2 linked regions of the Oryzias latipes genome follow. The protein of the gene in region 1 purifies or fractionates together with the protein of each later gene. This does not show direct contact. Links are inferred from orthologs where the notes say so. Each region holds a gene or a part of one and is shown on either strand. Other genes may lie near its edges.

The links. Proteins that work in one complex are often made in the same cells at the same time.
Region 2: the proteins of flvcr1 (region 1) and tmem9b purify together in Homo sapiens (co-immunoprecipitation; 3 studies listed by BioGRID and IntAct, counting the BioPlex papers as one, with this or other methods). This does not show direct contact. The link is inferred for Oryzias latipes from reciprocal best matches to the Homo sapiens genes FLVCR1 and TMEM9B.

Annotation. Positions count from the first base shown.
Region 1 is NC_019882.2:23,314,811-23,318,323, forward strand, and holds part of flvcr1 (feline leukemia virus subgroup C receptor-related protein 1), read right to left. Parts: intron 2,433-3,513; coding exon 2,327-2,432; intron 2,189-2,326; coding exon 2,077-2,188; intron 1,999-2,076; coding exon 1,922-1,998; intron 1,279-1,921; coding exon 1,201-1,278; 3' UTR 1-1,200.
Region 2 is NC_019861.2:19,775,379-19,779,656, reverse strand, and holds the start of tmem9b (transmembrane protein 9B), read left to right. Parts: upstream 1-1,465; 5' UTR 1,466-1,616; coding exon 1,617-1,691; intron 1,692-2,716; coding exon 2,717-2,808; intron 2,809-2,887; coding exon 2,888-2,996; intron 2,997-3,498; coding exon 3,499-3,633; intron 3,634-4,278. Other genes in the region: scube2 (signal peptide, CUB and EGF-like domain-containing protein 2), read left to right, coding at 1-14. UniProt on the Homo sapiens protein: Enhances production of pro-inflammatory cytokines induced by TNF, IL1B, and TLR ligands. Has a role in TNF activation of both the NF-kappaB and MAPK pathways.

The DNA of each region.
Region 1 (3,513 bases):
GTCAAACCGATTCTTTGATGAGCTCTGGCAGCATCTCAGTGAAACACGCAAACATGTCAAACATAATTATCAGCATGAAGACGTAAAGATGATGTCACATAGCCACTACATACATTTTGAACATACTGCACGGATGAAAATTGGTCCAAAATCACGCAAAGAACACGTTAACCAACGTAAAAGCCACACGATACTCCAATTGTGCATGATTATTGTGCTGTTTATTTGTAATTATTTGGTGTGTCAATTACGTAAATTTAGCGTGTTATGTGTACGTGATATAAAAGTTATACATCGATGGTACATGCATTAAAAGCATGTGAGACATGCGTGGAACAGTTGTGGAAAGCCACAAATCTGCCTATGCATCTCGCAAAAATCACGCACGTAGAATGCGTAGAATTTATGAAATGACTGTGTTATTCTCAACCAACCAAAACTGTGGAACAGTGCAAAACGGAGCTCACATAAAGACGCATCAGCTGACATCTTTGACGGACATCTGCGCACATTGTTGAACGACAAACGCAAGAAACACTTATGAATGATGTAGATCACGCATGGATTACAGAGGAAAGAAATGTCATATGTGGACAATAAGCAAAATGGAAGTAGTGGCTGTCTGACACGGCCTTAAAACTGGAAGTCCATCAGAGCCTGACTGTTTCAACATAAAGACCTAACTTGTGCATTTGAGCCTGAAGTTGTGCATCTTTGTGAGCCAAACTACTTCACATTGTGTTTGGTCCATTAAGAACAGGTTTTGATAAAAACAACTGCATTTCTGTTCATGTTCCAGGTTTCAGTCATGAAGATCTTTGTGCAGGATGGCGTCCAGCGCCCAGACTCTCAGGTGCAGCTGAAGATCTGAAGCTCAGACATAACGCTGCATTTAACAGGAACAGCTAAGGAAAATTCCAAAGTCCTCCTCCTCCTTACAGAGATCACACCACACACTGGTCATGTGATCGTCTTATGCTTCAGATCATTTTGCGCCACAGCTGCAGTAAAACCAGAAGAGGTCACCTGAGCCCATTGTCTTCCTCAGCAGAGATGAAGGGGGACATGTGAGCGTGTGATCACCCTGCAGGGATCCGACCCAGACTCAGATGAGCCGCCGGTTGTCCAGGTGATCATACAAAAAGGGCGCCCCAGATTGTTTGCTTGTGCCATTTCCAGGAAAGCTCCGCCCCCCACAGATCACAGCGAGGTTTCACAGGAAAAGCTGACAGATGGCTCCAGGAGGACTGTCCTGGTCTTTATTTCTTCAGGAGGGGGCTGTTGGAAGAAATTAGCAGTTTCTCAACAAGTAATCAGCAGAACTTTACCTCAGGAGCACAAAGAGACCACAGGGTCCTGTTGTTTGGTCCAAACCAGAGTTCAGATGAACCTTCAAACCTGCTAAAGCAGGACCATTACCAGAAACTGGCTTTGGATCTGACTAAGATCAGCTCTTGACCAGACTATAACCAGCACTGGACCAGATAGGGGTCAGGCCAAGACTAAACCTGGGCCAGACCTTGATCAAATCAGGATAAGCTCTGAACTAGACCAGGACCAGACCAGGAACAGAACCAGCACTTGATCAGACCTAAATCCAGTTGTGTAAATAATGCGCCATGAGTTAAAACCCATTCCTGCACTGTAGATAGTGTATGTAAACACTGGACACATTTTTTTAATTCCCGAGAATTTTGCTTGTTTTTGGGAAAAGTGTTTTGAAAAATATTTATGATTCTTTGAACTCGTCATTGTGACTCAGAAAAAGTTCTGCTTAATGTCGTTTTTACGAATGTCATGAATCAATTTGTCAGGGAGGGCTCACACAGAGACATGAACGCTTTCACTGCACAGATTGACCTTTCAGGGTTCCTGCTGAAGACAGAAACAAGCTGAAGAGGCCCTTTCTCTGCAGACTCACCATCTGCAGCTCACTGCTCACAGCGCCGCCAGCTCCCACGTTCACGCTGTGTCTCTTCAGGTCCGACTTGATTAAAGCTGGAATAGGAAGGCAGGCGGCAGCTTTAGCATTTTCTGTGACAGGCACGCACATGTGCACATACACACACAGCTCACCACTGAGAATAGCTCCCCCAAAGATCCAGGCGCACAGGAAGAGATTTCCAGTGAGTGGGTCGTAGTCTGTGGTCAGTTTGCCCTGAATGAGAGTGAATAGGATCCCAAAGATCTGCAAATAAACACACACAGGAGACATTTACAGCTTATCTGAAACACGTCTCTTGGCTCCTTAGAAGACATCTCTTTTTACAAAGTTCAGAATAGTTTCAGACAAAATTAGAAGATCTTCTGCAGGTAAGACACGTACCTGAGCAAAAGCATTGAGGAGGCCAGAAGACGTTCCTTCAGACTCTGGGTAAGTGATCTCTACTCCAAACTCGAAGCCGAGTGGTAAGTATCCCGTCATGAAGAAGCTGAAACACAGGACCATTTTTCTGATGTCAGTTTTGTGGTACAGGGGGGTCAACCGCTGATAGGACGGAGGTTTGCGGGATCGGCTCCCGCCTCTGTGTCAACGTTTCATTGGGAAGACACTGAATCCCACGTTGCCCATGGTGGTTATAGGTCTGTGCCAGTGTTCAGCAGTGGACCCGCCATCACCGAATTTCCCAAGCTGGGACCAACCAATAAGGTATCTTTATCTGATCAGTGTATGAGTGTGTGTGGATGAATGGGACTCTGGGCCTTGATCAAAATAGAATGTATCCGTCTTTTTCCTTTACATCTCCCATTTGTGAGCTCCTGATTTATGAAAATAAGAAAACCACATGCTTCATGCCACAGCTTTTATATTTAAGAGGAGAACAGACTCAGAACCTGTTAGTCCAGTTTTTGTTCAAGCAACCGACATCCACCCACAGCATTTGAATAAAAAAATAAAACACTGTTCAGTTCATGTTCAGTTAAGAGTGTCTGCAGAAATGTTGCCTAAAATCCTCATGTTTGAACTCCTGAAGGAGATCTTCAGGAGGTTGGGCAGAGAACCAACGTTAACCGTTCATCATTTTCTACCTAGTTATAAAAATGACATAAAACAGAACTCTGCTGTATATTAGAGACTAACATTTTGTCAGGAATCCCATGGGTCACGGGATTCCTGTGGGATGGTAGTCATCCGTTTCACTAACCACAGAGTTGGGACGCTACAGGTTAAAATAGTGGGGCCAACCAATAAGCAAGGCAACAAAACAGTAAAGACAGAGCCTTTTTTAGTTTTCTGGTAATAATTTAAGCCATTAAAAATGCACATCAACCAGAAGACCCCAGTGCTTTTATTCACGGTTTCTCTCGCTGTAATTCTAAGTGCAGCAATGGAGGGAGCCGCCATCCACGGCTAGTTTGATTAAGGAAAAATTGACATAAGAACAACAAAGACATATCTATAGTTCAAGGAGCTTGTAGGAAAGTTGGATATATTGAGTCGAGTGCGACGGTGATACCACGTCATGTGAAGCTTGTGGAACACGTCTTATCATAGTAAAGTACACCAGTCTC
Region 2 (4,278 bases), on another chromosome or scaffold:
TCCTTCGCCCATAAATGCTGCACCAGGATTTTCAAGGGACTGTCACACAGATTGGTTGGATGTCATGTCGACGAATATGAAAAACAAATCAAAGCAAATCCCTTAAGTAAAATTAAAAAAGCTATTGAAACGTCAGCGCAGGACTGAAGTACATACCTTAATTTCAGGAGTGCTGAATACATGCTGACAGAATGGGACTTTAATCTATTGCACCACAAGGAGAGACAAACTTGGTGGGCGAACAGACATATATTGAATGTCAATGGTACTGTACATAGATTGTATATCTAGTTTTAACAGCCTTATTTTACTGGATTTGATGCATTTATGACAGAAGTACTGCAAAATGTAAGAAACTAATACAGCACAACTGTTTTCTTGGGAACACTAGCACTGAAAAGAGGTAGTCTCGCCACAAAAGCATTTATTTTGATGACTGTATTGTATATGATGTAAAAAAAGTGTTGAGAGTTTTAGCTACAGATGTTGATGACCCATGTGTTTGGTTTTCCAAGGTGTCTGGATAAACGTAATGGTTCTATAAACCCCTAAGCTTTTCCAGCTATTATCTGCTTTCACGTCAGTCAAAGATGCTTCTGTAGACACCCTGAGATACTAAAGCATGTCATGTCTGTTTCTATGAAAAGTCCTGTAAAATGCTGCTGAGCTACTGACCCATCTTAGATGCGATGTGTATGTATATTTTATGGTTTTGTACATCTAATAAAATTGTAAATAAAGATAGGACTCATATTCATCATTTCCTTAATTACCAGAAAAGAACCTTATTGTTTAGTGTGCACAAATTTCATTTGACATTAGAGTTTAGTATGCAACTGTTTGTCTATATTTGTCTGCTTAAGAAAAACACCAAATAAATCATTACTTGATTTAACTTGCAACACATTATTTAGCCAAAACAAGGTGCATTTTTTAAAGAAAATACAAATATAGGAAAGCTTATGCAGCACAAAAAATAGACCAAGTAACAAATTAAACATAAAAAACAAAATCAGTTAAGGTTAAGCTTTTTTTTATTTTAGACAATTATTAAAAACTTTGCTTCAAATGTGATGACTTTTTTTAAAAATAAATATGTAGTAAATCTGTGTTGTGTGCAAGATACTTTTTAAAGTTACTTCTTTAAAAATAAGCAGTACTTTGTAAAATTTTCACCAAAATAAATAAACCCTTTAAGTGGAAGACGGGTTTAGACGGCTGTCGTCAGTCATTTTAGATCTCCATCTCATTCTGTTGTATTTTTCGTACATGATCATGGCAGTTTAACAAACATGATTTATATAAAAACATAGAAACTAATAAGTACAAAGTAAAAATATTTTTAAAATCCCCTAAATATGTCATGTTTCAAATTCAAAAGACAAATTGTAAACCTCAATAGTTCTTGAAATAAAAAAAAATGTAATATTTCAAATGTCCGCGTCTTAATGTTTGCGGAAGTGAGCCTCTATTTCCGGAAATGACAAGTCAGCTGATGTAGAATCTGCTTATCCTCTACTTGGCTCTACGGCGGACGGCGTCGTTTCTTAGGGTGCATTCGTCTTTTCTCCTTTGTCCCGCAAAAAGAGTCCAGCAGGGTTTGAGTTACTGCGACGATGAAGCTGGTGTTAGCTGCCGAGGCTGCGTGTTTGGCGTGTTTGGTGCTGCTGAGCCAAGCAGCAGCAGCAAAGGTAAGGCTAATGCTAGGCTAATGCTAGCTGACAGCACACAAAACATGGGCGAGTAGCTTACTAAACAGGAATTACACGTCTTAAAATTCTGTCAGCGACAGACACCTTCCCCTTTTTGTTGCTCGCGTGCTTGGTCAGATAGATAGATAGATAGATAGATGGATAGATAGATAGATAGATAGATAGATAGATAGATAGATAGATAGATAGATAGATAGATAGATAGATAGATAGATAGATAGATAGAGATAAAAATGTTGTCATGATTAATTTCTGTTAAGACTTCCTTACTAAAATGTTAATAAATGTGCTATTTCTGATCAGTTGAACATTTTTTTCCTTCTCTACCGAGTTACAGAAAATCTACCTTTATTAAACACAGCAAACGCCAGAAAACAACTGTCCCCCCTTTTTCTTTCATAAAAGCAGACATTAAAGGGAATCTTTGCTATTTCAAAACTACATTTATATGTCAGAAGAATAATAATAAAAACATAAACAGGTACACCAAAGCGAAACAGAAATGCTGCCAACATCCATCAGAACTATTATTTTGGAAACTTTTTTTGTTGCTACTTTGGTGTTATGTACCTGGAAGCTGGATTCCTGTGTTTTTAGTCTCAAGTCTTTTGATTTCTTTTGGCAGCATGTTGTTTCATCATAGAAACTCATACTGTGTATGTAATTATTCCAGAACATCGTTGGTTTTAGCTAAGAAGATCTAAAGCCACCATGCAGTCTTAGGAAAACACTCATTTTTACATTAAAAATCTTTAAGATCCAAGATTTTTATTTTAGCAAGATTTTGAACTATTTCAATAAATAGTAATTACTTCAGTTGTATTATTTTATCCTGTTATTGCTTTGCAAATCTATTTTTTGGTAAACTACAAGTTATAAACTTAATTTTTTGATATTCTTAAAGCTGCTGTGATAACATCACACAAACATGTCAAAACAAATGTCTGAGTTCAATCGACTGCTGCATTTAAAACTTAAACACCTGCTTGACGTAACTTTTACAGAATTCCGAAGACGTTCGCTGTAAGTGTATCTGTCCACCTTACAGAGGCTATGAGGGACATATCTACAAACAAAATGTGTCTCTCAAAGACTGGTATGTAACCAAATGCCATTGTATGTTCCCCCCCCCCCCTTGCTGAATCTTTATCATATGGATGATTTTGTCTCTTAAGTAACTGCCTCCATGTGGTGGAACCGATGCCAGTGGACGGCAAAGATGTGGAGGCCTACTGTCTGCGCTGTGAATGTAAATATGAAGAGAGGAGCTCAGGGACTATAAAGGTGAAGTCAGATTATTGATTTATTTTTTATAAAGTGTCTCTCAGACTGTGTGTGTGCTGGTTTGTCTCTGTATGTACCCTAAAAATGTAGATCTTTTCTGCCTTTAACCCCATGTTTGCTGGGATGGACTCCAGCAACCCCTGTGACCCAATTTAGGACACAGAGGGTTCAGATTAAGGATGTATAAAGTTTTTGATTATTCTTTACATTGCAAACATTTCCTTTTTTTTAAAATACTAATTTGTAGATTTTTTAAAAGCTGGTATTCTCCCTTTTTATCTTGCATATAAACAACAGGGGTATTTTATTTTTTATATGTGACAGTTTCTGACTTTGCACTACTTTTGTATGAAAAGTATTTATATTTATAGTTAAATATAAATATATAAAGAAGTTTAATTTGATCAAATTCAAGGTTATGGAAAATACTTGCTCAACGTTAAATGTGAGGCATGCTATGATTTCTGAGTATGTTTTTTGTTCTCCCTTCTCATGTATTTAGTTTACCATCATCATGTACCTGTCCATTTTGGGCCTGCTACTGCTCTACATGGTGTACCTGACTCTGCTGGAGCCCATGTTGAAGAGGCGGCTGTTTGGACACTCGCAGCTTATCCAAAGTGACGATGATGCTGGGGTAAGTGTTCCTAGCAACATTCAGGAGTCTCAAGGGCAATATGTATAGTTGTTTAATTTTTTTTTTCTGTGAATTTTAGCAGGTTTGATACTTTGAATGGTCATAGTCACAAGACTTGATCAGTAAATGTTCTCCCTTTGCACCAACCATCACGTGGAAGTTTTTCATGCAGTACGAGTAAAATTTAACAAGCTCTTGTAAATCAGTGCCGTACTTTCCCACTCCTTGGGAGGCTCTGAGAAATAGAAATCTGTGCAATCATGCAAAGAAATGTAATTAGGTTGCCCTCTAACAAGTTTGGACTCCTTTGCATGCACTGTAATTTACCAAAATATGTTATTTTCATGCAGATTTTACAAAAAATTAAATGCGATATTCTAGCAACATTGGCTCAGATTGCGGCAGTAGTTCTGTAGAATTGTGGTGAAACTGGAAAGTGTGTCATCTATACATTTAGATACTGTGTTGCGTTCACTTAAGGACTGCCTCCAGCAATCTGGCCAAGCTTGGAGCATTTCCTGGACTCACATCCAGAACCTCTTACTACTGTGCTGCTGTGAATCACATCACATTATCTTTGGTTTAAAATGGAAAAGTTTTACATCGACGGGACTCAATTTTTTGCCTCAGGGATGGACTAGGCAC